Caenorhabditis elegans: one gene and its partner. The protein of the gene in region 2 purifies or fractionates together with the protein of the main gene of each other region. This does not show direct contact. Each region holds a gene or a part of one and is shown on either strand. Other genes may lie near its edges. The genes, in order: mpz-6 and K07F5.8.

Region 1 (15,746 bases), on a different chromosome or scaffold from region 2:
CTTGATTAGCAGAACAGCAGTATCCGCTTGAAATTTAAGTGTGCCCATCCGGACAGGATCCATTGGCGGACGCTCAAATTTTGGAATTTTGCCAAGTGTTTATTTTATTACAGCAATGTATTTACCTACCTTGAATAGTTGGGGTTCTGCAGGTTTTTATTTCTTGGGAACTGATAATGGCACCACTCAATGCCAAATTAACCAGAAATCTGATCATACTTGAGTAATGGTAATTTTGAGATTTCTGAAACGATTTGTTATTACAGTTTCGCACATAATAACATGTTGTCCAGGTTTCCAGTACAAAGTTATTTGTGACGAAAAACTGAAAGTACATTTTAAATAACAAAAATTTCCATGTTACCAACAGCATCAGAAAAATTCGGGCTCCAATATTTTTCAGTCAGAGCATGTTTGTCCGATTGTTTCAATAGTACAGCATTCTGAAAACTTATTTTTCAGTTTTTAGTACACAGTTGTTAAACGTCGAGTTAAGAAAAAAGTGCAGTGTTATCCAATAGCAGTTTATGCCATTTTCCACGTACTTGGTTTGCCGAACTAAAAACTTGCTTGCAGGAATTGACGCACTTTTCTGTTGTTTTGCAGTAGATTGAAACTAACATACTGAATGAGTTATAAAGTACAACCTTTCTTATTTGAGTGCATTTTCCCCAAAAGACAGAAAACAAGTAGGTACATTCTATGATAAACTGTGTCATAATGTTGCATAACTGTAGTTCTAGACTAATCACCATATTAAAACTGCTATAAAAACCGTGAAGAATGCCCCACTTGTCATTTCATTTTTGAGGAGAAAATGATCAAGCACCTAACTATTTTCTTTATTCTCGCAGCTTCCACAAGCGCCCAACAAGTGGTTTCTTGTCGAGTTTCTTTTACTGGACGTGAGTTTAAGCTCGAGATAATGGGTGTTCCAGTATTATAACTTTTCAGCGGCTTTTGGAGGAGTTTGTCCAGCAGGAAATACTGAAGTCTCTAGTGGAGACTGTTGTCCAACTGCTCAGGTTGTTAATGGAACAATCACCTGTAACGGAGGGCTTGTAGGACGTAAGTTTTAAATATATCTGTGGACTTTAGTTAAAGTAACTCAGCAAAAGTTATGCCGATTTTCTCTTCTTGTCTTGCAGTTCTACAGGTCAAATGATCCGGAAAAATGAATGTTTCATAAAGTCTAGTAGTGAAAAAAAGTAGAGAAAACTCATTGAAACACCAATAACAAACATGAATCACAATAAAAAGCTTATGCATTAATGCATCATTAATTCAGCATCAATTGGCGGTTTGTGCCCGGCAGGATCCAGTCTGACTACTGCTCGTGATTGCTGCAACAATGCGAATATTGTGATCACCACTCCATGTGTCGACGTGTATCCAAGATGCGCACACTATCAAAAATGTTGTGCCAATCCACAATTCGAGGCAAAAATGAGAGCAAACTGCGCGCTTACTTGCAAATTCTGTAAGCTTTTCTTGTACGTAAGAGGTTATAACAATACTTTCAGGCACTCCAACACCTAACAATGGATAACTGAGATGATTTTTTCAATGAATTAACTGTACTTTATAGTGGGAATAAACAATGTTTTAGTTTTATACATTAGAATTTTGAGTTTGCCGGGGGAACATTTGTTACTCCATAAATCGAACCTGATCTTTCAGTTACCGAAAATCTCAAGGAAAGATCACACCCATGGAGTCCGAAAAGATCAGATTCTCCGAGACTCGAGAACCTCTGGTATTTCATAGACATTTATTATAACTTATAATCTACCATTGGTTGATTCTGAGTTATGAAATATCTGATGATTTGATTTTGCCTGGGAAGATCAGATTCAACTTTTGAAATTTGAAAAAGTAGGATTTTTGTTCTGAAAGTCCTGATTCCAACTATCATATATTTGAGAATAGCTTTATTTATTTTCACGTGACATAACTGATCATCACTCCAAAGTAAAATTCTCATTTATTTCCAATTATTTCAACTTGGCAATGACTGTACAACCGCAAGCAGAAGCATCGGGTGTACCTCTCGAACATGAAGAACAACCAAAAAATCAAAAGCAAAGAAAGGCGGAAAAATATTTGCTGCGATGGTACAACGCTTTGAGAAACTTACCGACTTGGGTTCAGAAAACGTAGGATTCTTGTTCATATTTTACTTCAAAAACACTTTTGCATTTTTTTAAAGAAAAAAACGAAGAATTGGAGCTTATAATGTGTTGGTGGTGATTTTATGCATAATAGTTATTGTGTTAAGCATAATTGTTTTGTATCAAGGTATGGTTTTGTTTTACTGTGGTTTGGTGAAATGTATTATTGAATTTCAGATCCTGAACAGACGCATGACAAGTATGGAGGATCAATTCTTCTCCGTGAAGTCAATCCATATGATGAAATGGATAAACTTTTCAAGAATGCAAATAAGTGAAAGTTTCTAAAATGTACCTTTATTATAATTTTTTGTTAGTGTAAAATCAACGTATAAAAAATTCCAATTTAAAGATCAGAACTTATATATTTTTGCCTACTCTTATAAAACTTCACATTATTTTTATCAATGGTAAAAATCTGAGAAAATACTTTTTGGAATTTTTCAAGATTCGAAGATTTTTTTTCTAGACAAGAATTATAAAACAAAATTTATTCAAGATAAAAATATATAATAAAAAGTATAGGAAACTACATGCAAGAAATGAGATTTTGAATTGAGATTGTGTACTTGTATAAAAAAAAACTCCAACAGAGCAAGATTACTTAAATTCTAGGAGATGCTCCAACTTCTGAATCCACAGGCATCACTTCTGTATTTTTGGGTTCTGAACCCATAACAGCTTCTGCCAAAGTTAAGTCTCCTTTCTGTTGAGCCCATTTTGCAGGTTCAGCTCTGTAAAAGTTACTTTTTTCATCAACAGTTTAAGTTTCTTACCTGGCGAAAACAATGAAAATAGTATTTGTAATTGCAAGCACTGCTCCGTAAATCATAAAAACTCTTTGCCATTCGCTGAAGCTATCGGATGGGGTCAGAGCTGGGACCAAGAAGCTTCCAGCCATTAGGGATGAGCAGGCAATTATCTAAATTGAAAAATTGAATTCATACATTTTTAATTAAAAAAAAAAAGGTTTTCACTGCTAACCTGCACAATAGACATAACAAATGGAGAGTATTGTCCGGAAACCATAACAGCACACTTGCTGTATCCGCCGGAAGAAAACCCTAGGAGAGCCATAGGAATTGCTGGAAATTAAAAGTTAAAACAGCAATAAATCTATTGAAGCTTACAAAGCAGTATGACATCCAATACTTTGCTTCCTCCTGGACTGGAACATGAAAGAATAATGAAGAAAATTGAAGAGCCAAGGAGAGCGCACGAGTTGAACATTTTCATTTTTGTGAGGTCAGAGATGGACTTGATGCGATCCGAAAAGAATCCAGTGCTGAATTTTATGACGAGCTGAAAGATTTTTTTTCAAATAACGGAGAATTAGATCCAAAAATATTTACCAAACAAGCCATTGGAATAAGTGTCAAAAGTCCAGCTTCAGTGGGCGTGCAGCCGATAACACCGCGCAAATAGATTGGAGCATAGGAAATTGAAAATTGGGATACCAAAAAGTTTCCAATAACTGCAATCCAAACACCCCAGATAACGATAGAGGAAACAATTTTGCGGATTGGAGTCTGCATTTTTATTTATTTGAAAACATTAATGTGAAATCTCTAACCTCATTAGATCCTTTTCCAGTTTGATCAAGTTTCTTTCCAAAACTTATTTTTCTCCATTCCTTTCTCTGCACGAACGGATGCTTCACCGCACGATCTCTGTAGTAGACAGCCCAAAGAATGGTGAGAGCTCCTAGAATTGCTCCATGCAAATAGAACACCCATGGCCAACCAGCTGAAAATTTTTAATTGGAATTTAAGACTAACAGACTTTGTTTCTTAAAACTGCTCACCACTCGTTGCAAGAGCTCCAGAGACTGGCATTGTGAACACTGCTCCCATTTCTACGTGAGCCGATAGTACAGAAATGAACAATCCTTTTTCATTTACAGCTGCCCATTCATTAACAACAACTCCGGCTGTAGTGAACAAATTAGCCAGAGTGATTCCTTGAAGAACACGTAAAATCACAAAAACTGGAAAACTCCAAGTGATAACAATCGGCGTTATAACAACAAGAAATGTGCCAAGAATTCCACTCAAAGTCATCACTTTGTGAACTCCAAATCTAGCTGTAAGCCTCGACATCGGAACTACTGCGGCGATGGCTCCAAGGAATCCCGCAGCGAATCCCAAACTTTTTTGAGTTGTGTCGAATGCGAAGCGACGTTGGGAAAGTGGAAGATCAGGATCATTCCAGTTGATTTCATCCAATGATTTGTTGGAATTTACAAAATCCTCCCAGTAGGGAGACGATTGCGGATTCACCATGGAGACATAACACGCATTGTAGCAGATTATTCTGAAATTTTGAATTTTTGAAAAATTGTCTGGTGAAAACTAGGTGTTTAGAACATTACCGTTCAAGCTATTCAAAAAATCTAGGTTTGATAGTGAGTCAAATGCGACTTTTTCTGTTGAAAAACTGACCGAGAATTGGAAAAATCGGATAACAAGCCCCGCCCAAAACTTGGTTCTTTGCGTTTTTTCATCGAATTTCTTATTCATGGTTATCAAAACTTCTCGTAGGTTTCGGATATAGTGTTGAAAATCTAGATCCAAAACAAGTACTTCAGATTAAAAAAAGATCATTCAGTTTTCAAATTAATTTGTTTTCTCAAATATGCTCCGCCTATACATATTTTGGTGGCTTGTCGTTATTCATTGCATTAGTTAAAAAAAAGTTACACCTTTCCAGTAACTGAAATGTGAAAAAATATTTACACAAATGTTCAAAAGCCGGAAATTTAATGAAAAAACTCACGAAGAAAGTAAAAATGACAAGAAAAAAAGCCCAATGACAAGAATGATGTACCGATTTGCACCGCGACATCCATATCTTCCCTCTTCTTTATCAACTTGATCACAAATCGTTCCAGACGAGGTTGTTTCAGATGATGCTGACATTGTGATATGATAGCAACTATATAAGCAAAATCAAATTGTTAAAAAGTTATTAGTGGAGGTCTTTCCGAATAGTTTTATATACTATTGCTTATGCAAATTCGGGTGTCCTCTCAGTTTTTGTCATGATTCGGTACAGAACCACATGAGGAAGGTTGTAGCAGAGGTGTGAACTGTGAACTATGTACATACACAATCAGCTCAATTCTAGCAGTGTAACTCTGATTTTTTTGAACTCGAGAATAAGCGTAGCATGAGTGTTGTAGTCAAAAAAAAACAATTGTAATATTTGTCCATGCTCTCTGATTCCGTGCCGAGTCTGAAATATTTTAAACAGTCGACACTCACAAATGATATACCGTATTTCCTCTATTAGTAAAGTGCCTCTATTAGTTTTGCACCTCTATTAGTTTTGCATCAAATTAGGTGTCCGAAAATTAGATTTGCATGCCTTACTAATAGAAGAAATACGGTTTGTCTCTACTTTTTGATTAAATGTAGGTGTATTGTTATTTTCCGGTTAATACCTGTTCTCAAGAAGTGCTCGGCATTTGGCTCTAGCTTCTTGCCCAAGTTTAGCCCAAAAAATATTAACTTGGATCAGAAGCTGTCTAAACTTGGGCAAAAGTTAGGCAAGACTTTGGCAAAACTTGGATTCAAGCCTTACCAAAGTCTAACCCAAGTTTCACCCAACTCTTGCCAAACTTTGGCCCAAGTTTGAAACGAAATAAGAAAAGTTCGGGCCAAAGTTTGGCAAAAGTTGGGTGAAACTTGGGTTAGAGTTTGGTAAAGCTTGAATCCAAGTTTTGCCAAAGTCTTGCCTAACTTTTGCCCATAATATTTTTTGGGCTAACTTAGGCAAGAAGCTAGAGCCAAATGCCGAGTGAGCCACATTCTAAAAAATATTATTTTTATTCGTAGGACACTCGAACAAAGTGAAAAAGCTTTGCGTGACCTTGGAAATATTGATTTCATATATACCACGTGGCGATTCGTTTGATAGACGGCTTCAAGCAGTTGCAAATTATTTTCCAACAATAGTTTTGCGAAAAAATCCTCGCATCGAAACAAGTAAAAATGGAAAACAAGTCACCAATGAAAGGGAGCGAAGCAGAAAATGCCAAAGATCAGTTGAAGAAGGTTAGTTTATGGAATATTTTGTAGTTTATTAATTATGCAATACTGTAAACTCTGTATCTTGAGGAATGAAAACTGCGCATTTTGACTTAATAAGTTTGAAGTGGTTAGTACTCCACGTTGTGGCCGTGGCGACGCTAGTTCGATTCCAGCAGCAGGCAACGTTTTGCACTTTCCGAAAAGTAACTTTTTAATATACAAACTTATCAGAAAACTGCTGAAGAATTCGCTCAAATGGCTATCATCAATCGTGCTTTTTCTGCTGAGTCAACTGAAGACCCACCACCACTGGCTCAGAAACGGTCCGAATCGACTTTAAAACCATTGAATGATGAATTGAAGTCGGTGCCACTGGTTAGAGCTTTCAATTCTGCTGAAAATCAACTGGATCCAAAGAATCAGAACGCTGCAAAGAAGTGAACAGTTATCAATGGGATACTTGATTTTTGAAAGTAATAAATTAGTAAAGTTAAATGTATTGCTCTCAATTTCAATAAACTTATCAATCAGTTCTGATACCCGACACAATTTTAGAGAACTCGTTTCTTGGGTTGTTTAGAAATATTTTACTCTCTGGCTTCACAGAATAATTTACTCTCCGGCTTCACAGTATATTTTACTCTCTGGCTTCACAGTATATTTTACTCTCTGGCTTCACAGAATAATTTACTCTCTGGCTTCACAGTAAATTTTACTCTCTGGCTTCACAGTATATTTTACTCTCTGGCTTCACAGAATAATTTACTCTCTGGCTTCACAGTATATTTTACTCATGGCTTCACAGAATAATTTACTCTCTGGCTTCACAGTATTTTACTCTCTGGCTTCACAGTATATTTTACTCTCTGGCTTCACAGAATAATTTACTCTCTGGCTTCACAGTATATTTTACTCTCTGGCTTCACAGAATAATTTACTCTCTGGCTTCACAGTATATTTTACTCTCTGGCTTCACAGAATAATTTACTCTCTGGCTTCATAGTATATTTTACTCTCTGGCTTCACAGTATATTTTACTCTCTGGCTTCACAGTACATTTTACTCTCTGGCTTCACAGAATAATTTACTCTCTGGCTTCACAGTATATTTTACTCTCTGGCTTCACAGTATATTTTACTCTCTGGCTTCACAGTATATTTTACTGTCATGTACATTTTCAGCCGTATCTTTAAGTGTGTATTATCAAATGAAAATGACAATTTATTGGCAAAATAGGTAGATTTTCAAAACTTTAAAAATTCATAAATCACTTCAAAGTAACTTTTTTCGAACAAATTTATTCCGAATATCTTCCTCAAGTTAAGATCCCAGACGTTTTGGAGTCATTTTCAGGGGCTTCGGAGACGGAATGTATGGGATACGAACTTCTGGGGCAGGCTCCGATGGCAAGGTGGCTGGAACTGGAGTTGGAGCTGGTGCAACGGCTGATTTGATAATACATGGAGGATTCGTGCACGGTTTCTTGTAGAAATCTTGTTTGTCTTCATAATTTCCAAAACATCAGAAGGAAGAAGCTGCAAAGAAGAAAATGAAAACATGTTTCTATATTTAAGTGAAGTGATAAAAGAAAATGGGTTTAAACTGACCACATCAAACTGCTTGTTGGCTTTTCCTTGGGGTGGTTTTGGAGGTGGAAGCATCACTGAATTTCCAGCTTTCTTCACTCCAACAGCAGTACTCTGTGCACCATCGGGAGGCAGTGGAGCAGGGCCGAGTGGATCAGTATTTGTGGATCTTTCCAATGTAAGACGTACCGTTTTTGTGTTGTTGACACTCGCATAGAGAAGCTGAAAGAGCGATAATAGTAGCCATTTGTGTTTCGGAAGATATCATACTTTTCTAGCAGAGTCACGATCAAGAACATAAATGTCATTAACTTTGACAAGAATATCTCCACCTTTGACATAGTGACACGCATTGGAAGCCGACTGAACCATTGAAATAGTTACAGTTTTTGGATCAACTGCCATCTGGAAACCATCTTTAAAAGTTTCAAGTGTCCCGATTACTGACTCTATGAATAATAATCCCTGTTGCAGCACCTCCACGATAAGTGAAAGTCAACTCAACCATCTGAGTATTTGGACGACGAGGTGGCAATGGTTTTTCAGTGACAAGGCAATGATCATCTCGCATGAACTCAATTGTCACTTTTCCAGGAAGTTTTGCACTGATTGCACGGATAAAGTCAGCAGTTGTCTTTATGTTCTGAACATTTGGATTAGTTGAAACGGAAGCGGAAACGGATCTTAAAATATTCCTTACGGTTTCTCCATTGACGTTCAAAATCTCATCACCAGCAAATAGAACACCCATCAATTGGCTACTCACGTCCACATATATGATCTCAAATGTGATTATTCAAGATCTCTTCGATTTTTGAATTGAAAATGAGTTTTTTAATAGCCCAAACTTCGTATTTATGAAAAATTAAGGAATTTTCGAATGTTAAACACATCAGGAATGCCGACAAAATTGTGCTCGTTTCAGCTCTTAGCGCGAGCCCTACGTTGAATACATTATTCAAAAAGAAATGTATTTCCATCTCAATAAATTATTTCAGAAACATTTCCCAACAAACAAAAACGAAATGAGCCCTCATTTACCTTCCCATTGACCACATCACATGCTACAACCACATTCTTCCGTTCGAATTGTACTTCTTCTTTTCCTTTTACATGAAAACTATTGTTGTTGGTTGTCATCTGTAAGAAGTTCATGTCAATGCAGTCCGCTTCTCTAGTAACTGGTAGAGTCACTATGCCCTCATTGTCAGACCCAACGCGCAATCTGAATGTTAACTTACTCCGAATGGATTGTTGCGGATACGAAAGAGCTATCGATAAGAAAATATTTAGAACTGAGTCAGTTTTTGTTTTCACTTTTTATTTTTCTGTAATTTTTTTCTGAATAAAACAAGTACAAACGATGTCACGTTGTTATATTAATTAAATTGATAAATTATTTATTATCAAAATATTATCAAATTTCGATGAGATCAATGGAATAGAACAATTCAATCATCGTTGTCTTCTGCTTTTGTCACTTTCTTTTGACCTCCTCTTACAAACTTTGAAAGTCTTGAACGAATTGTATTCAGATCTTTGCTGTATGTTGGGGCGCTGAAACCAATAAAAATTCGTTTATTTTCTCTTTATTTGAGCATTTCACCTATGAGCTGTACCTTCGGACTTTGTGCCACTATCAGATTCTTCAGTTTCAAATTGTAGGTGGGATATCAAGAAGACGTTGGAAACTTGATGGCATTGTTGGCATTTTGCTCTTTTATGCAGATCTTTTTGAAAATTGGAGATAAAAATCTGAAAATACGTTTTTCCATAACAAACACGACTTTTACACCGACACTGTTCTTCGTTGGTGCAGAAAAATTACAATATCGATTTGGAATTCTCATAAAAGAGCAGGTGGCAATCTACCACCTTTCTATATTGTCACATCACCTCCACACTCTCCGAGCAAGATGGGAAACTCCGCCCACAAACGCTGAAAGTTGATTACAACGACGTAGAATCTGTCTCATTCAGTCAGTCTTTTATTATCTCGATCTCTCCCTTTTGAATTATGTCTGTGAACATTGTTTTCTCCAATCCTTCCAAAACATACCTGCCTGGCGACTATGTCTCTGGAAAAGTGTTGCTCACAACAAAAGATCCAATTTCTGCACGATATATGGAAATCACGTGGAAAGGAGAATCAAAGTGTAATTTTGGAGGATCGGAGAGCTCAAATGTCCAACGCCATCTTGCCGGAACATTTATGGGATGGATTGCCAAAGATGGAGTTGTGAGTTTTTAATACTTAATAAATATATTTTCAAAATATTCCCATTCAGGACACAATCCCCGCTGGAACTCTCAAATCACGTTTCCGATTCCGACTTCCAGAAAATTCTCCGCCAAGTTTTTGCGGAATGTTTGGAGAAATTGAGTATTCTGTTACTGTGGAATTTGATCGTCCGTGGAGACTCAAGTTAAAAATGATGAATACATTCCGTGTGGTTCAGAAGACAAATCTGACACTTTCTGAGCCAAAAATGATGAAGTACGCGGAATTTGTCAAGTCGAAGAATTCTGGAACGATTTTCAAAGATGGATTGTTTTTGTTGAAGGTATTGTTCAATTTCAAAAGTAGAGTCAAAAAATTCACTCATTATATTTTAGCTTCACTTTTCCAAACGAGCATTCCTCGCAGGGGAGACAATCCGAGCACTTGCCATCATGGAGAATCATTCAACAAAACCAATCATTAATCTTCGTTTCGAGCTCATTCAACAATCCCATTACCACTCTCGCCCACAGAAATCATTGTGTTCTCTTAACGATTGTCACTCCGACTGCCCAATTGAATCCAAATATCGAAGAGATGGTGAAACAGTGCTCCGCGGAGCCAATTACAGTTGTGACGTCGCACCTGGTGAGGTGAAATATATCAATGTGGAGATTGATCTGCCAAATGGACTCCCGCCAACTTTCGAATCTCCAATGATCTCAATGGGATACCTGTTGGGATTTACCCTAAGAAATGGATCACTGACCGGGAATCGATTAGCATGTAATGCACGGATTGTGGTTGGAAGTGAGGAGACAATCGATGAAATGGTAGATGAATGTGAGCCGACAAAGAAGAGCCAATGCCTTACTGCATCACCACCACCATATCACCCATAAATTAATCAATGATCATATTCATTTGAATGTTTTAAAATAAAGTTTTTTTTTGAAAAAAGTTGTGTAAAACGGAATGTAGACGGAACCATATAAAAATAATTCAAATATTTAATTCAGAAAGGAAATCTGTATAATTTTTTCAGGAATAGCATTAATTGAAAAATCAATTCACAGAGAAATATGAACAAAAATAAATAAAAAAAAAAAACTTATAATGCAACTTATTTTATTCGGAAATGTACCCCAAATGTCGCCCCAATGAGAAAAATATGATACCAGCAAAGCTCGAATCTTGGATTTTTATTAAGATGTTTGTCTATTTTTTTTTTGAAAAAAAGCATATGCTCAATTTTTATTCAAGTAGAAAGAATCATAAAAACAGTTCACTCCTCTTTTGGCACTTCCTTCTTCTTCTTCGTCCTCTTGCTTCTCTGACTTTTTCTGCTTCTATCACTATTGTTTTTGAAAACTGCCAGAAGCCTATTTTTCGCTTTTCCCATCTGTAATGTCCCATCTTCACACATTCGAGCAAATCGTTCAAATTCTGCAACTGCCAATGGTATTGTGGCTCGACGAGATTCTTCGACAAAAATACAACTGCTCATGTACTCTTTTACTTCGTCTGGAGTCATTGATGGCATTGGATAGAAATTGTTAGCCATGATATCAGCCTTGATAGTTGCATTCGAGACACCTTCAAATGGTTCAGCACCGTCGACGAAGACTTCGTAGCAAGTGACTCCCCAGCTGGAAAGAACACTTGTCTATACCTCAATAGTTGATAAAACTAACCTATAAACATCAGTTGCATATGAGAAGCTCAGAGTAGCCAAGGTTTCAGGCGCGAGCCACTTTATAGGAATCTTACAAGATGTCTTTGTTGTATAAGATGGTCCAGCTCTAGATAATCCAAAATCGGTGATCTTGACCTCGTTCTCGTGAAGAAGACAATTTCTGGCGGCGATGTCCCTGAAAAGTTTTCAATCGATTTTCCAACAAAAAACCTGCTCACCGATGGATACAATTGTTTTGATGCAAGTACGCAAGACCCTTTGCAGCTCCAAGACAAAAATTGATTCGATCCGCCAGGGGCACCGATTTCGTCTGCTTCATGTAATCTTGCAAGGATCCACCTTTGACCAACTCAAGTAGAATGTACAGTGGCTGCTCATCATGAGCAACTCCATATAGGCGTACGACGTTTTTATGATTGAAGTTTCTGATGAACCTTGCTTCATTCATCATCTCCTTAATCTTCATTTTGCTCAAAAATGCAGATGCTTTGGTCATCTTGATTGCTACTTCTGCTGAACTTCCATCTTTGAGCCTCAGTTCACCAGCGCACACTTTTCCGAATGCTCCTTCACCAAGGACATCTCCAACTGTCACATCCGAGTGCATGAATTCCCATGTTTGCTGAAGAATCGGGTGTTTCAGTTGAAAATTTCCAGAAGAGCAATGACCAGTGTGCTTTGTGTAGTAGTTGATGAGATCGGCTACAGTAGCGAATGGGCGTGCTGCTTCACAGAAAAACTTGTTGGATACACGTTTAATCACCACATTATGAATCTAAAAATATGGTTATTTGTTTCAAAACTTTACTTCACTCAACTTACCCTTTTCTCTTTTTGTTTTCCTTCCATATGGCCCGTCATCAGTGATAAAATGATCTCCCGAACGACTTTGCTTTCTCCTTCAACTACTTCCGACACACGAATCAAATAATCTCCTGGATTGTGCAACGTGGCTTGTAGATCTTCGCGTGGCAGAAACCCATGATAAAATTTGAATCCTCGAAGCGTTTTCTCCAAAACCGGAAAGTATTCCCTATCGGATGTCATTAGAGACTTTTCCTCGGGAGCTGTGCATTGTGGTTTTTTCTTTTTCCGTCTTGACGATTTTCCTCGAGCACTCTTTTCTGTTGGTTGAAGGGTTGCCTGCAATGAGCCTGCCATTGATAGAAGCAATGAGTCTGCAATGGTTAGAAACAATGACTATTTTCAGATTGTAAAAAGATGTTCCAATCTTGAGGTTCATCATATCCAATGAACTGTGGTCAGGATAAGGTCAGAAGAATTGAACTTTCTCAAGAATTTTTAACGTGACCTGTCGAAAAAGTAACTATGACAGTCCATTTTGAATTATAAACTCTCAAGATCATCTGAATTTGCAAGTACCTCTGGTCGTTCCCGATCTCTAGTCCCTCTTTTAGATCGTTCCAATTTGTCTCTCCTGGAGCCAGCTACCGGACCATCTGTGGTTGGGAGCATTGACGATCTCCTGAACAATTGACAGTTTCAAGCATTCTAACTTCATTTCCTTACCTGGATCTTCCAGAAGCCACAGCTGCTGGTATCATTTTGGAAGTTGACTTTGTCTTGTTTGGTCTGTAAGAATCAAAATTTTGATACTTTTCTTGTGAGCGATGAATCTACTCACTTTGAGTTAACGTACAATGCGAATGATCGAGCATCTTTACTTGCCATATTTTTTGTTTTGGTTCTGAAATATGCGATATTGATTTAACAAAATAAATCAGAAAACAATACCTCTTTTATTATGAATCAGTTTCAATAAGTAGAAACTGATATCTGTCGCGAAAAGTGAGAACGTATTGAGAAATGATTGAAAACTCATTGGAAATCAATGAATATACTGATGGTTTTTTTTGTTGGAAACGTGAACGTCTAAATGTTTTTCAAAATTAAATTTAAAATATTTTTAATGACCAAAAATATAGTTTAAATTTGGCTGCGGTGTTTCTAGCGTAACCCAACTGTATCCCTTCTACAAAGCTGATTACGACCTTTTAATAGCATAACTTGCTTCCACTTGAACGATTTAAAAATTATTTCAAACTCTGCTAAATATGCCACCCCATCCCTTCAACTATTAATTTGCATTTTTGCTGAAGTCTACACATTTTAAGCCCTGTATCTCTTATTTGGTAAATAGGCTGAGTAGCGACTCTCATCACGGTGGTGTGATACGTGAAAAACTGCGTGAAACGCTTGGGAATGGGACTACCAGGCTGAACCTTTTGGGCTTGATGAATTAAAACATATATACTCGCAAAATAAGAAAATAACAGAATTTGGCAGTTTTTGAATTAAAAATAATATTAATTTTAAACATTTTGTAAAATGAAACACTTGGTGAACTATTTACTCGATAAGTGACAAGCATAACTGATAATGCATAAAGTTCTCCTAGTCCTCTCTCACACACACACACTACTTTGAGTTTTTGTATTTCAGTTCTTTCATTTATATAATTTCAAATGATCTAAATGGTGTGTGATTCACGCAATTTCGCAATCGTATAAGCCACCTATCGATAAGAAATATAGAGCAAAATTATGGGTTTCCAGTATTTGAAACCCTCTGGAAACACGATAAGATTAGTCATTTACGTTTTATTCCCTAATTGCAAGCGGAGATGCTGATAAGACAATTACTATAAATGATCCAGGCGTGGTTTCCAGAAAACATATACTTCTTTGGCAGATTATATCTCGACACACTTGATTATAGTAGGATCTGATTTTTTTATTTGATAATCTCATTTACATTGATATTCAAATATGCACTTATTTGTAGAAAACAATGGAATGCTTCCGAATTGTACTGGACCGAGACACCTGCAAATATAGACCCGAAGAATGTGTTACAGGAAATGTGGTAATTATAAATCGAAAGGAGCTCAAAGCTCGAACATTACGAGTTTATATTAAAGGATATCAAAAAACTTCGTGGAAAGAGATTCAGCAAAAGCCAAGCTTGTAAGTTGATCGTCAATTCAATTTTTTCAAGATTCAAGTTTTTCTTGTTTTCAGAGTTGTTCGTAGTAATGGAGTTAATGTCAAATCCACGATTAAATTAAAATCACATGGAGAAAATATTCAATACATACATCTATACATGACATTATGGAATTTCACTTCTGACACGGTAAGATTTCATTTAGAACTGTTCATGTACTTTCTTTTGCCATTATTTTGTTTTGCAAAAAAAATTCATTTCAGGATTGCATAAAACCCGGAACACACAAATTCCCATTTTCTTTCAAATTACCAGCAGATTGTCCGCCAAGTATGTGTTTTTCAAAAATAAATTTAAAATATTTTTAATGACCAAAAATATAGTTTAAATTTGGCTGCGGTGTTTCTAGCGTAACCCAACTGTCATCAAACTCGACAGACCATGGAGTCTAATGGAGATTACCAAAAAATTGATTTTCGGTAGGACGGAATTTGAAAAAAAAACAATATTAATTTTTAATCTAATTTTAGTTGTACCGAATGCAACTTATATACCAAAAGACTTGCAACAAATCAATGGAGCTGTTTCGAAGAATATCGGTGTATTTTTCAAGAGTGGGATAGTAAGTGTAAAGGTACTGTTGTTTTATTTCTTTTTTAAAACTTGTTTCCCACCTCTCGATATTTACTATATATTAAACTATTAATATATTAAATTAGTAATATATTAAATTGAACTAAATTAAAATATTTCTCTATAGAGGTGGATTGTTGGCATTACCGAAAACGTTTAAATACCGATTTTTCTCCAAATTTGGCAATGATAGAAATGATCGAAAAAATTAAACCTTTAGCAAAAAGGCAAAAAAACAGCATGAAATTTCGATCCCGGGGAATAGAGCTACTTACAATTATTAATTGTTAATTGAGTTTTTTTTTTGTTTTTTTTTCATATAATATGGTCATTTAAAGACGTTAAAAGTAAAATCCCCGATTCCAAAATAAGACTATTCAACTTTACAGACTAGCTTCCCACAGCGGGTTTTAATCACGGGAGAAGTTATTCCACTAACTT
Region 2 (15,097 bases):
AAAACTTCTATTCCATCACTCATTCTTCTACAACCTCTCTTGACATCTGACGTCCTCCCGATGCTCCTGCCTGAAAAATAAATTTAAATGAAAATAAAAACCTGGAAGGTAACTGACCATCAACTTGATCTTCAGGTGTGGAATCTTGGTTCCAGCACTGTCCGCTGCCTTGAATGCAGCTTTCGGATCCTGCACGTCTTTCTCGATTTCTAGGTATTGAACAATTGCCTTGTCTTTTTGAATTGGACCAGGCATCCGATTGATTGTCAATTGGCGGCATTTGTTGGGCTCAATGATCATGTGAGTTGGCTCAACACGAAATAGTGCATTGCCACATCGAACTTTGATAGCCATGCGTTTTGAGGTAAAGTTGACCACCATATGCTCCGATTTTCCGCCAGCATTTGGGAATTTGGCTTCCTGGAATGACAAACCGTATTGGCAAAGTAAGAATGCCAATTTGTAATGCATATTCTCTCGTAGTACTATTAGAATACTATTACATGATTATTTAACGTTTTATGTGACTTTGTCAGGAATCATGAAAAAACTATCAATACAACGTTGTAATTAATGAGGTTTTTGCGACAAGAAAAAGATGTGTGGGCGGCTTGGATATCAATCAGGTGAAGTTGGATGGCTCTTCTTGAGAAAACGTGTCCTGACAAAAAAATATCAAATATTTCTTGATTTGCTTGCTATCTTTGAGATAATTTTAAATCATGTACTGTGATAAATTGTTCTTTATTGTGTTCAACGACAGTGAAAACAAAAATCCTTTTTTGATGACAAAAGTTTATTCGAGAATTTTCTAGAGATGAAAAGGAAAAGTTCTATAGGACGCATTTACTGTATTGATCGGTGAAATCCTTGTGAATGGCAGAAGTGGCCTCATCGAGAAGTCCACGCTTTTCAAAGAAATTCATCATAACTTGATGGACGAAGAGGTATTGATGATCGGTCTGAAAATTGATGTTTTATTCCGAAAAAGCAAGAAATTTGTTTTACCTGAACCGAATTGTTACGCTGTTCACGAATTTTCTGAATAATCTTGTCAGTGTCTTCGATAATCTGTCCAGCTAGCAATTGATCCATCACGTACTCGAGCATCACCACGGAGCCAGTACGCCCAATGCCTGCCGAGCAGTGCACAGCAATCGGTCCTCTAAAAAAGGAAATAATGCTGAAAGGTCACAAACTATTCTCACTTCGACACTCTGGCTTTTTCCAACAGTTCGAGAATTGCATTGTCAGCAGTCGGAACTCCTCGATCAGGCCAATCTATCCAGTGGTAATGATTAACCTTAAGTTTATCACAACCAGCTCCCTCAACTGTCAGCACGGTCTTCGTAACCTTCGCGGCACTGTTGTCCCGAAATTTGATCTGAAACATGTTTGTATGCATGCACAAACAATTTCTTCAACACAAACCGCTTTTGACGATTCGAATTTGACGGTGACTTTCTGTCCTTTTTCTTTGAATGACATAGTGTCCTTGTTGTCCTCGGTTGGAAGATATTCGTGACACTTCTTTGCTCCTTTCTCCTTATAGTTGCACAACATGAAGATTGTCTCGACGCGATCCTAAAAGTTCAACTGTTAGTACTTCCAAAAAAAAAAAAATTTCAAACCTGCAGGCACATGAACCAGAAATCGGCACAAGTCTTCTCAAGGGGAGCTTGGGTGCAGATGAAACGTTTCGGGTTAGTTGGAGTAGATACATAGTTCGCATGAATATATTCATGCGGCCATGCTCCACCCAACTTCACCCGATTGTTGTCCAAGCATCCTACGTCCTTGTAGCGGTTCTTTCCATGCTCCTGGGCATCTTTGAATGCTTTCATCTTTGAGAAGTCATTGAAGCGCTTCATAGTTGCAAATTCTGCCCTCGTTTTTTGTCTTCTGTAACTTTCTCGAATAAAGCTAAAAGAAATATAAAATCTAAACTCACTTTTAGTCGACGACATTTCTCCGGCTTTCCTTTTTGCAAACTACTCGTTTTTCGGAAATTTTTAAAAGTAATTGATTTTTTGAAACAAACTGATCCAACATTATGATTGATCAGATAAGAGCTACGTAGAAGTTCAAAAGTGGAAAAGGCATTTCGGTTCACGGGAAAATTAAAAATGTCATTTTTGCTAATCGTCGGAATTTAATTTAATTAAAAGTACGGGGCTTCAAAACAATTAGTAGGGAAAATCCATACTAACACATCTCGACAAGTAAAACTACAGCTAAAAAATATGTTTCTTGTATTAAACTGTACAACATTAAAAATAAAACTGTAAAAAACTTCAGGAAAAAGTCAATTTGACTGAAAAGTACTGTAAAGTACAACAAAAAGTTTTCACAACTTTTTTGGAAGTCAGTGATAAAAAAAACTAAATGTTCCTTCTAGGTTTATGTTTTTAATATGTTCAAAATATTTTTATTTTATCATTGTAGTGGTGTGAACATGCGACAGTGCTTTAGATTTCTCAAAGTGGTGTAAACTCAGCTTTCACCAGTTAAAAAAATTATTATAATTTTGATAATTTCCCAATATGCCGTGCTCCATTAAATATTTAGAACTGAACACTTGTAATAATGGGATGATAAAACATGAATAATATTTAATTAAAGATAAAATAAAAAAATAAGCCTATAAGTTAATAAGCCTAAAGAAAAATTGGAATAATTAAGAATCTCTAATTTGGAAGAATTTCAGTTTCTCTTGTCAATTTGTGAAATCTAACTGGTGATATTGAGAGTATGGTCGGTGTGGTGAGGAACTAGTAGGACTTCGATTGAGACTTGTTTTACTGAAAAAAATTCAATTAATGGTTCACCAAATTATGGATAACTCTTTTAATCTTCCGTTCAAAGAACACAAGCCATTGTCGCGGTTTTCTGGGAGTCTATTAAAAGGTCTTATTTGATAGTAATTGAAAAAAAAAACGACCTCATCAAAAATATTTCATTTTCATCTTTACCCAAACGTTACAAAAAGTGCTCTTTTTAGGCGGTGGCCGACATTGGAATGGTGACAGTTCCAGCAGGAGTGACTGCAGCAAAAGCGGCTTGAGCATCAGTAGCATCGGCTGGAGCTGGTGCAAAATGAATGACAAGCTTATCCTCTTTTGGAGCACCAGCAGTGCGGGTGATCACAACATCCTTTGATCCGGATGGATCGACAAATCCGAAAACTGGAGCAATGCGGTATTCGTTATTGTTGGATGACTTGATCTTGAAGATGATCTTCTCAGCTCCACCATTGACGAGCTTGTGAGTCGAGGATCCTCCAGCGGCTGGTACGGTACAAGCTGGTGGATCGGCAGTCAGAGACATGTTGTAGCTTCGGCTGTTGGTTGTTTGGTACTGAAGACTGATTTGATTACCGTTTTCGCCAAATATTTATACCTTCTCCTATCAAGATGCTCTATTAACCTTGTCACGCGTAAAATTACTTGAAATTTTAATTATTAATTTGTTTAAAAACTAATAGTGTTTTGAGGTATAGCTCCTAAAAAGTACCGGTGCCATTTAGAAAAATAATTTTATTTTCTGAAAAAAAACATTTTTCATCGAAAATTTTAAAAAGCTGCTGTATTTATTACGATTGAAATCGTGATCAAAAATAAATAGTAAAAAGACACGAATGAGTTAAAGACAACAAATCATTGGAAAATTGATAATAATCATACAAATATTGATAATAAGCATGCAGAAAATGAATTATCCTCTGAACAGTTAATTAGATAGAGAATGAAACTGTCAATGTGCGGGTGTCAGGGAGATGAATGATGGGTAACATGAAAGTAATAGACTTAAAAGTATAAACATTCATAGAACATGAGATGCCAATATAAAATTCATTTCGCTATTTTTTATAGAACTTAATACTCTATTCGTGAAAAAATGTATACGTATTTTGATTTTGCATTTCCCCCAGATGAACTTGGTTTTGGTTCGAGTTTTACTTTTTTGTGTAATTAAAAAAATGATCTATGTCAATGTCAACTTTGTTTAGTAGAATTTTCGACAAGAAAACATTATCAATAGTTTTACGCCGAGCTTCTAAAATTGACAGGTTGAATAGCGCTTTTATAGTCAGGGTCATCTGTTCTTGTGTACTTTCCCTTTTGTCTGCTGTACAGTTTCCTAGAGAACGAGTTCTGTACGGATTCACTTACTTTTATATTTAGTTTTTTTCATATTTTTTCAAATAAATAAATAAACTGTAATAAAAAAATTAACATGTGTCGAGGAGACACGACCACCATGTGGCTTCACCATGATCTAGGTTCACATATTTAATCATCTTTTATTTAATCTTTACCACATCATATACCGTATTTCCTCTATTAGTAAGGCGCCTCTATTAGTTTTGCATCAAATTAGGTGTCCGAAAATTAGTTTTGCATGCCTTACTAATAGAGGAAATACGGTATTCCACTTTTCCTATATACTCATTTCATATTTATGGGACTTGAGGAACTGTCATATGTAATGGATGTGCAAGGATCATAAGGAATTGTAACAACAGAAAGTCTTTGGAGCAGGCTTTTACACATATTCCTTTAAAATCCCGAAAATCCAATTTCCTCAACGATCGTAATAAATTATTATTATTTATATTTTGTGTCTACGTGCGTGAAAGTGAAAACTGAAAACTGAAAAATATTTAAAATAATTTATTTTCTACTCAAATATCTAAAAGCACGTGAAAACTGATATTTCAAAAATCGAGTAATAAAATTTAAATTCATTAAAAATTTTGAATTTCTCACGCGTTGCTCTACTGCCCTAAAATAACTGATAAGATCTGAACTATTTGGTATAAAGTTTCGCGAAATCGTCAGTTTTAATCATATTCGAACTTTTCTTCGAACCGTGAGATCAGCCATGACATCTGCCTATTTCGGAGTTGCCGGCGGGAGTAATACTGGTGCACAATCGGCTTACTTTGGAGTTGGAGGAGGACCAGCAGGAGGAGGCGGTGGAGCCTCGAAGGTTGGAGGTGCCGGTGCACCACCCCCAGGAACATCAGTGTACATGGGAGCTGGAGCCGGAGGAGGTGGCGGTGGCGGAGCCCAGTCAGCTTACTTCGCTGTTGGAGGAGCACCAGTCGGAGGTGCCCCAGCTGCCGTTCCTATGGGAGCCCCACCACGTAATTCTTTTTGTTGTAGTCTCAGTTTGGAGTGATATTGTATTTTTTTAGCAGCTGGTGGAGGTGCCTCGACAATGACTGCTCTTGGCGGAGCACCATCTGGCGCATCTACTATGACAGCTGTCGGAGGAGCCCCGAGAGGAGCTTCCACGATGACTGCCGTCGGAGGAGCTCCAACTGGTGCTTCCACCATGACCGCTGTGGGAGGAGCTCCGCGAGGAGCTTCAACCATGACCGCTGTCGGTGGGGCGCCAACTGGAGCTTCTACGATGACAGCTGTTGGAGGAGCCCCAGGTGAAGCTTCCACCATGACCGCTGTTGGCGGAGCCCCACGTGGAGCATCTACAATGACTGCTGTTGGAGCCCCAGGCGGTGGAGCTTCTGCTCTTGGAGCCGCGCCACCAGCCGGATCAATGAGCGGAGGAGGCGGTGGTGGTGGAGCCACTTCTGGATACTTCGGAGTCGGACAAGGCGTTATGGGAGGTGGTGGAGCTGTTGGACAATCTGCCTACTTCGGAGTTGGAGGAGGTGCTGCTGGAGGTGCCAAGTCTGGAGGTAAATTTAAGAGGGTAACTATCAAGTATTAATAAATTGAATTCAGGCGGTGGTGGAGGTGGAATTCCCGGACAATCTATGTACATGGGAGCCGGAGGTGGCGGCGGAGCTGGAGGTGGTGCCACATCTGCATACTTTGCACCCAAGTAAGAAGGAGAGAATTTGTTGAACTTTTATAGTCAATAAACAGTAAAAAATACGTTTTTTGTTTTTATGTTTTCATGTGTTTTGAAGTTACAAGTCGTATTCAACAGAATACAATACTGCAGCGGAGTCATTATTCAATGTTCTATTTCTTCGAACAGTAACTTCATTCCAAAAGTTGAGATTCAAGTGAATTCGTAGTGAATTCGTAGAGATTCGTAGTAGTAGTTCTGAGAATAGGTATTGAAATTTGGGAAAGAAAAACGACAACTAATCTCAGTTCATTCGCATTTAATTTTTGGCATTCGAAATCGAATTTAGAAAAGGTTTTGGTTTGGGTGATACGCTTCAATGTTCCCGAATGGTGTAGAATCTGATCCATTCTACAAGAAAAGAGTTTTTGTCTACAATAACAAAAATTTAGAGCAAAAATATAAAAGAATGGCATTTCCAAGGATGTAACTGTTCAAAGAGATAATCCTGTCGAAACCAATGGAAAAGCGAATCCGTACTCTGAGCATCCACGTAGCATGCAAATACTCATTTTGACATCAGTGAGGCGTCCAGTCCCACATGTTGTTGCCAATGTTTACTGAAAACGCCTTCTTGAAATTAATGTTTTAAATCTTTTGATTAAATTCTCACAATTGACGCTTCAGGCAATGCCAATAATTTTGAAAGTGGAAGATGAGAGCCATCTGAACATTTTAAAAAATTCAATTCTTTCAATTTCCCCAATATTCAAACACGCTAAAGTCTAAATAACAAATAACCTACTTGTTTCCCATTTATCAATATATTTAATGCAATTTTCCTAAATCTAAAACTTCCATTAGCTCGATTAAAATTGAAATTAATTAAATGGAAAATAATCAGATTCATTGTTGAACTAAAAAAGATCTAATATGCTTTAGATCCTTCTCCGTTTTTACTTTATTTTTGTTATCAATTGATAGAATTCGTTTAATAAAGTGGTTTAACGCAAATTTCATCAAATCATTGTATTTTTGTCTACCCACATATATTTGATTTGTTTACACACCATTTTCCCCCCATTATACCATACATTATTCATTCAATCCAAATTGTGGGAAACTTCATTTCCCTTCCTATAATACGATATTGAACATGATTTTTGGGATGCTCTAGTTTCTTAACTGTCTATCTCGGCGACATAATTTTTCACTCTCTGTTAATACCAGAATATTTATTTTGGAAATTATGATCTAACCTCAAAAATTTCGAATCCAATATACGCCATTAAACAACGTACACAGATCAAGTTTTCGTAATCATTTTTCTAATAATGAGGAAGTTGTGAGGATAAGGAACTTATATTTAGCTATCTCTATACACACATTTTCTTGTTACATGATATCTGAAAAGTGGAGTATTAGATTAAAAACCTTATTTTGAGTGTATATCACAAAATGAATTTCACAATAATCAGAGATGATCAAATTGTAGTTTTTTCATAGGCAATTCGTTTGGGCAACAGTTTTTTTTTCAATATCTCTTCGACAAATAAACTGATGAACTTCTCATTATTTTCATTTTCAACTCATTTGAAAAGGTGTGAAAATGGCGTTCAACTGATTAGAAAGTTGACAAAAGTGATAAGAACGCGTGTATCGCTAAACTAAATATAACGACCCGACAATTGGTCACTTTTGTCATTCTTTTGTCTTTGAACTGACAACACGACAAAACTTTTTGTTTGTTTAGCTGCTTCTAGAATTGAACTTTAACGGTTTTTTACAGTTTAGAGATATTAAATAATTTGACCTTTTCTATTTACAATTAGTAAAACAATTATTGCGTTGGAAGATATTCGAGATTTCAATTAGTTTCGTGATTTAAAAATATGAATTTCATTTCAAGTTAATTTGATTTTTGGTTAGATGGAGGCGTCTCAAAGGATTATTGACATAAATTGAAAATTCACAACGTTAGTTTTATTGATTAAATTTCTAAACTTTGGAAGTTTACCAAATAAACAATTTCGATAGAAAAGGAAATGTTTCGTTTTGAATTTCGTTGTTTAATTTTGACCTGGGAGGGTATAAAGTACTTTTTGTTCATTTTATTTGAAAGTTCTAATGAAACCAGAGAACTGAAAGGAAATTTCATGAAAAACATTGAATAGTTCCAAAAACTTTTTTGATCTACCTACCACGCTCTAATAATAAAACTATTGTATCTCTACGTCTCTACTTCTTCACTTTTCTTCCTTCCTCGTTTCCCTCATTTTATTCTCATTTCCTTGTAGTTTTATAGTAAAAAAGACTGTAGAACTACTAATAATACTAGTTATTATTAGTACAATTCTTTCTCTTTCTCAGATTTTATTGCAAAATAATTGTAGTGTACAATCAACTAGGTTGTTAGATTCAACAATTTGTTTGAAATTCTACAATTCAAACATTTGTAATTATCATGTGTAACGCAAAAACTTTTAGGTAACAATGAGCTCTACCGTAGCTCCTACGGTAGATACTTCACTTCAAATCGTCGGATACGTGGCACTTCTTCTTTCTTGCTGCGCTTTTGGAACAATGTTTGTTCCATTGAGAAGAAGAAATTGTAAGGATGGTGAGTATATTTTGGATTATAGAAACTTTTTTAAGTCGAAATTTTCAGGATTTTTTGTCCAGTGGATTGAATGTGGAGTTGTATTCATTGTCGGTTGCATCTTCTACGCAGCACGTGGATTTCCAAAATTCGAGCCAATTGCGTGTATTGGAGGATTTCTTTATGCAACTGGAAATGTATTCAGTGTGCCAATTGTTGAAGGAATTGGGATGGGAGTTGGATTCTTGATTTGGACTAGTCTTCAGGTTTTTATTTCATTTTATAACTTGTCGCAGGGGCTGGAACTTTTGAAAACCAAAAAAAAGTGTTGGAACAAAAAATATCGGAGGAAAAATTATGAAAACCGCCATAGACGTAGAATTCAACCCACGATAGAATTTTTCTGCGACAGAATTACAGTTGATTTCAAGAAAACCAAAAAATGTTGAAAAAAAAGAGACCCGAAGAACTCGGGGGATGTCCAACTGGGGGGATTACCAACTCGGGGGATTGGCCCCGCCCACAGAACCGTGGCTTGCAATACGCCCATTTTTGCAACTGAATTTTTGCAACTAAAATTATTTTTTCTTGTTAATTCTCGCTCTATTGAGAAAAATACAGTTTTAAAACCGTGCGGCAGTTGCAGAAATGGGCGTATTGCAAGCCACGGTTCTGTGGGCGGGGCCAATCCCCCGAGTTGGTAATCCCCCCAGTTGGACATCCCACGAGTTCTTCGGGTCTCAAAAAAAAGGTTTTTCAAAATAATTTTAATCTAAAATTATTTCTTGAATACTTATTTGTGGCATGAATTTCAATTGAATACTATCAGAGGTTTTGGAAATGTGATACAATTTTTTTGGTTTTCAAAATTTCCAGCAATTGCGCCCATACCGTCTACCTCGTTATTTTCGGAATTTTGGCGGGAAGACGCAGATTGCCTCAAAATGCAGGCAGGCGTTTTGTGTCTACGCGGAAAGCTTACTCTGAAACATACTGAAACTACTACTACTACTCTGAAACTACTCTGAAACTCTTCTTTAAGATTATTGTCGGATGGGGAGTGGCAAGATTCGGGCTGTTCCAATGGATTGCCCCGCAGAATGTGAAAAATGATGTGTTGAACTATATTGGAATTGCATTGACAATCGTGAGTGGAGTTCTTTTGATATTCGTGAAACACGTGGAAACGGAGCCAGAAAATGAATATGATGTGACCAGCAAGGAAATGGAACATCAAGAAGAGATTGAGCAAAGACTCAGCAATTCAGAAAGAGATTCTTCATTTGATATGGCTGGTTTGGCAAAGAAATTACCGTTCGTTGGGCATGCTTAGAAATTTAAAAAAAAAACGAATTTTCAGTTATATCCTTATGGCAATGGTTCTTGCGTGTCTACATGGTTTGATGATGTCACCGATTGAATATTTGAAGCAACAGAATCCACCAACTGATAGTTTCCAAGTGTTTGACTATATTTTCCCATTCTACACATCAGTATTCCTCTTCTCTACACTGTATTTCTTCGCGTATTGTGTAATTTTGCGTCGAAAAGCCTACGTGGAAAGGAATTTGATAATTCCATCGATTGGGTACGGTATTTTATGGACTACAGGTAAGAGATGCGTGGTCGATTGTTCAAATGTTTAGTTCTTCAGGAATGACACTTTGGTTTGTCTCCAGTGATAAATTATCTCAAGTTGTTGCCTATCCATGTACCGCCCGTCTTCCACCGTTAATTAGTGGAGCTCTTGATGTATTTGTATTCAAGAGTATTCAAGGAACCCGATCATATGCTACGTTGGCAATTTCTTCTGTTATTGGTGTCATTTCGGTGATTATGATTGCTTTGTCTAATCAGATTTAATTAGAACAGAACCGAACGATTTATTGATCTCATCTCAAAATGTTGTATTATATTTGAAATAAAGTATTATTCGTATCGTTTAAACGATCGTTTGGTTTAAAAAAAAAATTTTTCAACAAAACAACTGGAAATCTAAAGAAGTTACTATTGATATCTTTTATATCGAAATTCAATTTAAGAATTCTTGATTAAAATGAGTTATCAAATTTTCGCAAAATACGAAGTAACTGAATACCTGAAACATGCATTTCTTTTCACGGTTGAATGTTCTTCGGAATATGTATTCTTTCATCTTCGAGGAGGGTGCCAGCAAACGCGCCCCTTCGTACACAGACAAAATTCGAAAAAATTTGCACGCCAAAGCGTCCCCAAAAATCGATTTAATTCGGCTCATTGTCTTATTTATATTATTATTTTCATTCTAGAATTCTCGCATTAACTACATATGTGTTCTTTTTCTTCTCACAAGCCCCATTTCTCTTAAAAATCGTTTGTTTTCAGCGAAATGTCACTTTTCGGGTCATCTACTCCCCAAAAACAGGCATTTACGTTTCCAACGCCGAATGCTCCAACAACATCGTCTGGAACTTTGTTTGGAAGCACGTTAGTATTTTAAGAAGTATTATTTTTATACAAAAATATTATTTTCAGAACGCCATCAAAGCCTCTGTTCGGTTCAACTGCTCAGGCTTCATCAACGCCTTCGCTTTTTGGAACAACAAATACCTCTACTCCTTCTGGAGGATTGTTTGGAAGTAAGTTTGATATTTTTACTTTTACACAACTTACTTCGTAATCAAAGTTGCATTTTAAACCGAAATATATTAAATTTCAGAGACAGGCACTTCAACTACTACCACTTCAACTGCTGGAACTTTGTTTGGTGCTGCTCCAACCACTTCAACAGCTACTCCAAGTCTTTTCGGTGCTTCTACAACCGGTAAGCTACTCAAAATTATCGATATTTTCGGTCACTTCTACTTAGTTTATACTATTAGCTGTTGTGTGGTCTCGTTGAGAGAAAAGCTAGACAATGATAAGGAGGGGAAATCGATAAATCATATTGATCGAAGTAATACATTTTGGACCAAAAAATTATATTCTAAATTCCAGCAACAAATGAATGAAAAAAGAAAATAGACTCAATATATTTTTTGATCTGACAAATTATTTGACCTACCAAGGTTCTACTTCTGTGATTTGCGCTTAATTTTTATTCAAAATTGTTATTTCTCTCCTATCGCTCTACTTCTCTCGTCGTCATTGTGTTCGTTACCTTCACTTTTCTCTGTCGTGGTCGGTGTCGTGCGGATTTCTTTGCCTGTTCTTCTATCACCCGTGTTGCTCTTTGCTACTCGTTTTCTTCGTCTCGAGCGTCTGCAGAAATGTTTGCCCGACGTGGGGGCATCACCGGAATCAAAGCAGAAGACATGCCGAAGAATCTTCCAAATCTTCCCGATTTACCTACGACATCAGCATCTCAAGCTCCAGCCCCAGCAACCCAGAATGTTAGTTCACCAGCCCGTCGCAATTTGTTTGGAGCACCCAATGACGCTAACCGCACGCTTTTCACAAATTCTCCGGCATCTGGAACCACTTCTGGAACTTCAGGACTCTTCGGAACATCATCAACGACATCTGGAGGTCTCGGCGGTATTGGATCCACACAACAAACTGCCAAATCACCCGTTGCCACAAGATTGGCAGCATTCAAATCAGGAACTTTGGGGGCTGGTAGTCTTTCTGGTAATACTCCAACATCTTTTGCCACACCATCTGCGTTACCAGGAACTAATGCCCCACAGTCATCTTTTCTATCACCGGCAAACAACTTGAATGTGGCTCCAGCAGCTTATCGTCCTCCCTACTCAACATTTGGAGGTTGGTATTCATCAACTTTGTATTAGCTTTTCATATTTCTAGAATTGAGTAGACTTGGTGGGTCAGATCAAAAACCGAATAAAAAAAAAAAAAACTAAACCTAATATTAAATCTTAAAAATAATTAATTTAGATATGTCTAATTAGCTTTAAAACATTGCTTCAAGTATTTTATCGTGAATCTGGAATATAATTGTCTAATTAACGAACTTTGATAATTTTGATGGCTCAATTTTCAGGATCGACCCCATTCGGAGCAGCGTCGACTGGAACAGCCGCGGGATCAACGCTTTTTGGATCGAGTACTGCAAAGCCAGCTACAGGCGGATTTTTTGGTTCCAGCTCAGGGTCTACTCTTGGTGGTCTTGGAGCAACTCAACAACAACAACAGCCTGTTGTTCAGCAGCAACAAGTTATTCAGGTAATTAAATGAATCTTAAGAATATCTGAGCGCTTTTCCAAATAAAATTTTTTCAGCAGTATCACCCATTTGTGAAAGCTGTCGGAGATCCAAAGCTCTTTGGAAATGATAATGATGGAGTTGTTGCTAAGTTGAATCAAGTTGCTGCCGGTTTGGGTGTCGGAAAAGCTCCATACAAAGATGGAAATCAGCTTCTATCGTTTTCAATGGAAGGAAACTTGTTTGAACGATTTGTTGTAAGTTTATTTTATAAATCACTGAAAACTTGCACAGTGTCACGTTTCAGGGAATCGGATACAATCGTATTTCGGAGCGAACCGACGATGAGGGATTTGTAACTTTGGTGCTGCGTCATCCTATTACAAACTTGAACACAGAAGAACGCCGTGACAAAATTCTTGAAATTATCAAAGCTATTCTTGGTGGCGGACCAAATGTAGAAGTTCGATATGCTCCTGGTACTTCGATGAGAACACTTTCTGATGGATGCACAGAAATCTGTATTATCGCCAAAGAAGGCGGATTTGTTGCAGGAGCTATTAAACTTGCTCAAATCCTCAATGATGCTCCAAAAATGACCCAATTAGAATCGCAGTTGCAAGTGGATAAAACAAGGGTTCTTCCTAAAGTTGGAATGTCGAAAGCACAAAGAGATAGATATTTGGAGACAGTTCCTGATGGTTAGTTTACTCGTTATTTTTACTATGTTTATCATTTATTAACAAAGATTTTCGTTTTCCTCCCTCGCATTGTATCAAATTTCATTCATTTCAGGAATCGATGAGCGTATTTGGAGACAAGCAATCAAAGAAAACCCAGCTCCAAACAAACTTCTTCCTGTTCCAGTACGTGGATGGGAAGCATTAAGAGACAGACAGAAGGCTCAAGTTGGCGAGTCGAAACTATTCCACGAGGCAATTAATGCATTGGGAAATCGTGTTGAAGAAGCTAATGTAAGTTGTTATAACTTGATGAAAGTTTACAAATGTCATACATATTTCAGCATGAACATGCAGATGCAGTTGTTAAGATGGAGATTATTCGTAATCGCCATAAAACTCTCTCGTACAGAATTGTTCGTGTTATGCTTGCACAATGGATTGTATCAAGATATTCACGTCAAATTGACACTGATGAGGATGTAATTGAAGCTAAAGCTGATACACTTCTTGCCCAAATGAATCGTCATAATCAAGTGAAGGTGAGAAAAAATTATGATTTAATTTTGTATAAAACAATTAATTTCAGTTTTATGTCGACAAATTCTACGAGATTTTGGAATCAAAACCGGATAAACTTCAAGAATCAATGTGGAAAATGTTTGATATGACAATTGAAGATGAACACTATGCTCGTAGAGTGCTTACCAAATTTGTTAATATTTGCTCTGGCCTTTACGAGTCAACACATCAACAAATCGAAAGTCTTGAAGCTTGTAGAAGGGCTCTAGAAGGATAATTTATTTTTTAGAAAAGATTTTCTGAAAATCTTTTTTTCAGATTTTCTCGTATTAATTTAAAAATTCGCTCATTTCTTTTGTATCATCATTATTTTCTTTCAAACTCTGACAGGTTTCTGGTTATTTCTGTTTCGACCTAAGATGTGTGGCAGAAAATTGTTTTTAAAACTTATACATATTGAGCAAAAAAGCTCGCTTTTTTCTATGTTCGCCTGTCATCACGAGTACATTTTTTCATAAAATATGCCTCATTCTTGGTTGTAACTGTTGATCTGACCTCCTCAAATTGTTAATTGTCTTATTTCACACACTGTTTAATAGATTGAATTAATTCATCTCAAACTTCTATCTAGAATAAATTTGATCTCCATTTTTCTGTTTGAGTTTTGTCAAATAACGGTTGTCTCCCGTTCGAATTTCTGCGATTTTCAAATAATTAGAATCACATAAAAACTATTGCAAAATGTATCTCAGAAAATGGACGATGAAGACAATGATGAAAAGAGACGTCAACGTTCAGATGAAGCTCGTCGAGCCGCGATGAGGCAAAAAATTCAAGATCAGAGAGAAAGAGATCGTCAAATTGCTGCTGACATTGCTAATGTTGACAAAAAAACGACAAAACGCATTGTATTTGAAGATTCGGATGATGGGGATGATCAGGATGAAGAAACAGAAAAAACAGCCGCGAATGGTGAAAAGGTTGGAAGTTTTTCAATTTTTTGAGATAAAAATCTCTTATAACAGCAATTGCCCGATTTCATAAAGTTGTTTGCTGTAAAGACAATACTCGTAAACTAAGTTGGAATAATTCAGAAAACCTCGCGCAGTTCAAAACGTCCAAAACTCTTCGATTCTGAAGATGAAAACGATAAAGATGAGGAGGAAGATTTTGAAATCAAAAATAGACACTCTGGTCCTAAAGGTATTGTCTAAAATTAAAATAAATTAAACCAAAACTATTTTTCAATTTTTAGGCGAAAAGCTGATGCACCTAGAATCACGTTTCAATAGTGATCCCCGATTCAAATTGGACGACAAGTTTGCAGAAAGTG

The links.
Region 1: the proteins of K07F5.8 (region 2) and mpz-6 fractionate together in Caenorhabditis elegans (co-fractionation; one large-scale study listed by BioGRID). This does not show direct contact.

The regions. Positions count from the first base shown.
Region 1 is NC_003280.10:9,398,049-9,413,794, forward strand, and holds mpz-6 (PDZ domain-containing protein), read right to left. Parts: upstream 9,073-15,746; 5' UTR 9,030-9,072; intron 8,929-9,029; coding exon 8,830-8,928; intron 8,570-8,829; coding exon 8,489-8,569; intron 8,432-8,488; coding exon 8,237-8,431; intron 8,194-8,236; coding exon 8,059-8,193; intron 8,011-8,058; coding exon 7,810-8,010; intron 7,738-7,809; coding exon 7,552-7,737; 3' UTR 7,486-7,551; downstream 1-7,485. Other genes in the region: Y51B9A.14 (uncharacterized protein), read right to left, coding at 1-63; Y51B9A.8 (ShKT domain-containing protein), read left to right, coding at 818-905, 955-1,068, 1,289-1,480, 1,524-1,549; Y51B9A.7 (Small integral membrane protein 8), read left to right, coding at 2,011-2,156, 2,210-2,298, 2,349-2,449; Y51B9A.6 (Major facilitator superfamily (MFS) profile domain-containing protein), read right to left, coding at 2,776-2,905, 2,948-3,093, 3,156-3,256, 3,302-3,473, 3,524-3,700, 3,745-3,917, 3,976-4,484, 4,947-5,089; Y51B9A.5 (Ovule protein), read left to right, coding at 6,164-6,226, 6,434-6,643; arrd-2 (Arrestin C-terminal-like domain-containing protein), read left to right, coding at 9,806-10,027, 10,077-10,352, 10,405-10,911; M176.9 (Tyrosine-protein kinase), read right to left, coding at 11,295-11,658, 11,704-11,880, 11,924-12,480, 12,528-12,848, 13,089-13,191, 13,236-13,298, 13,351-13,397; arrd-3 (Arrestin C-terminal-like domain-containing protein), read left to right, coding at 14,517-14,692, 14,747-14,861, 14,936-15,002, 15,203-15,306, 15,695-15,746.
Region 2 is NC_003282.8:9,847,705-9,862,801, forward strand, and holds K07F5.8 (Protein-tyrosine phosphatase), read right to left. Parts: upstream 2,021-15,097; 5' UTR 1,952-2,020; intron 1,903-1,951; 5' UTR 1,872-1,902; coding exon 1,632-1,871; intron 1,585-1,631; coding exon 1,432-1,584; intron 1,385-1,431; coding exon 1,209-1,384; intron 1,166-1,208; coding exon 1,009-1,165; intron 963-1,008; coding exon 834-962; 3' UTR 781-833; downstream 1-780. Other genes in the region: K07F5.7 (Major sperm protein), read right to left, coding at 20-70, 118-471; ssp-10 (Sperm-specific class P protein 10), read right to left, coding at 2,998-3,327; ssq-1 (Sperm-Specific family, class Q), read left to right, coding at 4,885-5,149, 5,201-5,704, 5,751-5,854; K07F5.12 (Transmembrane protein 144 homolog), read left to right, coding at 8,314-8,440, 8,489-8,685, 9,462-9,733, 9,780-10,030, 10,074-10,282; npp-1 (Nucleoporin Nup54 alpha-helical domain-containing protein), read left to right, coding at 10,788-10,885, 10,934-11,037, 11,118-11,222, 11,894-12,163, 12,402-12,583, 12,640-12,819, 12,870-13,263, 13,358-13,536 and 2 more; K07F5.14 (NUC153 domain-containing protein), read left to right, coding at 14,520-14,744, 14,859-14,967, 15,020-15,097.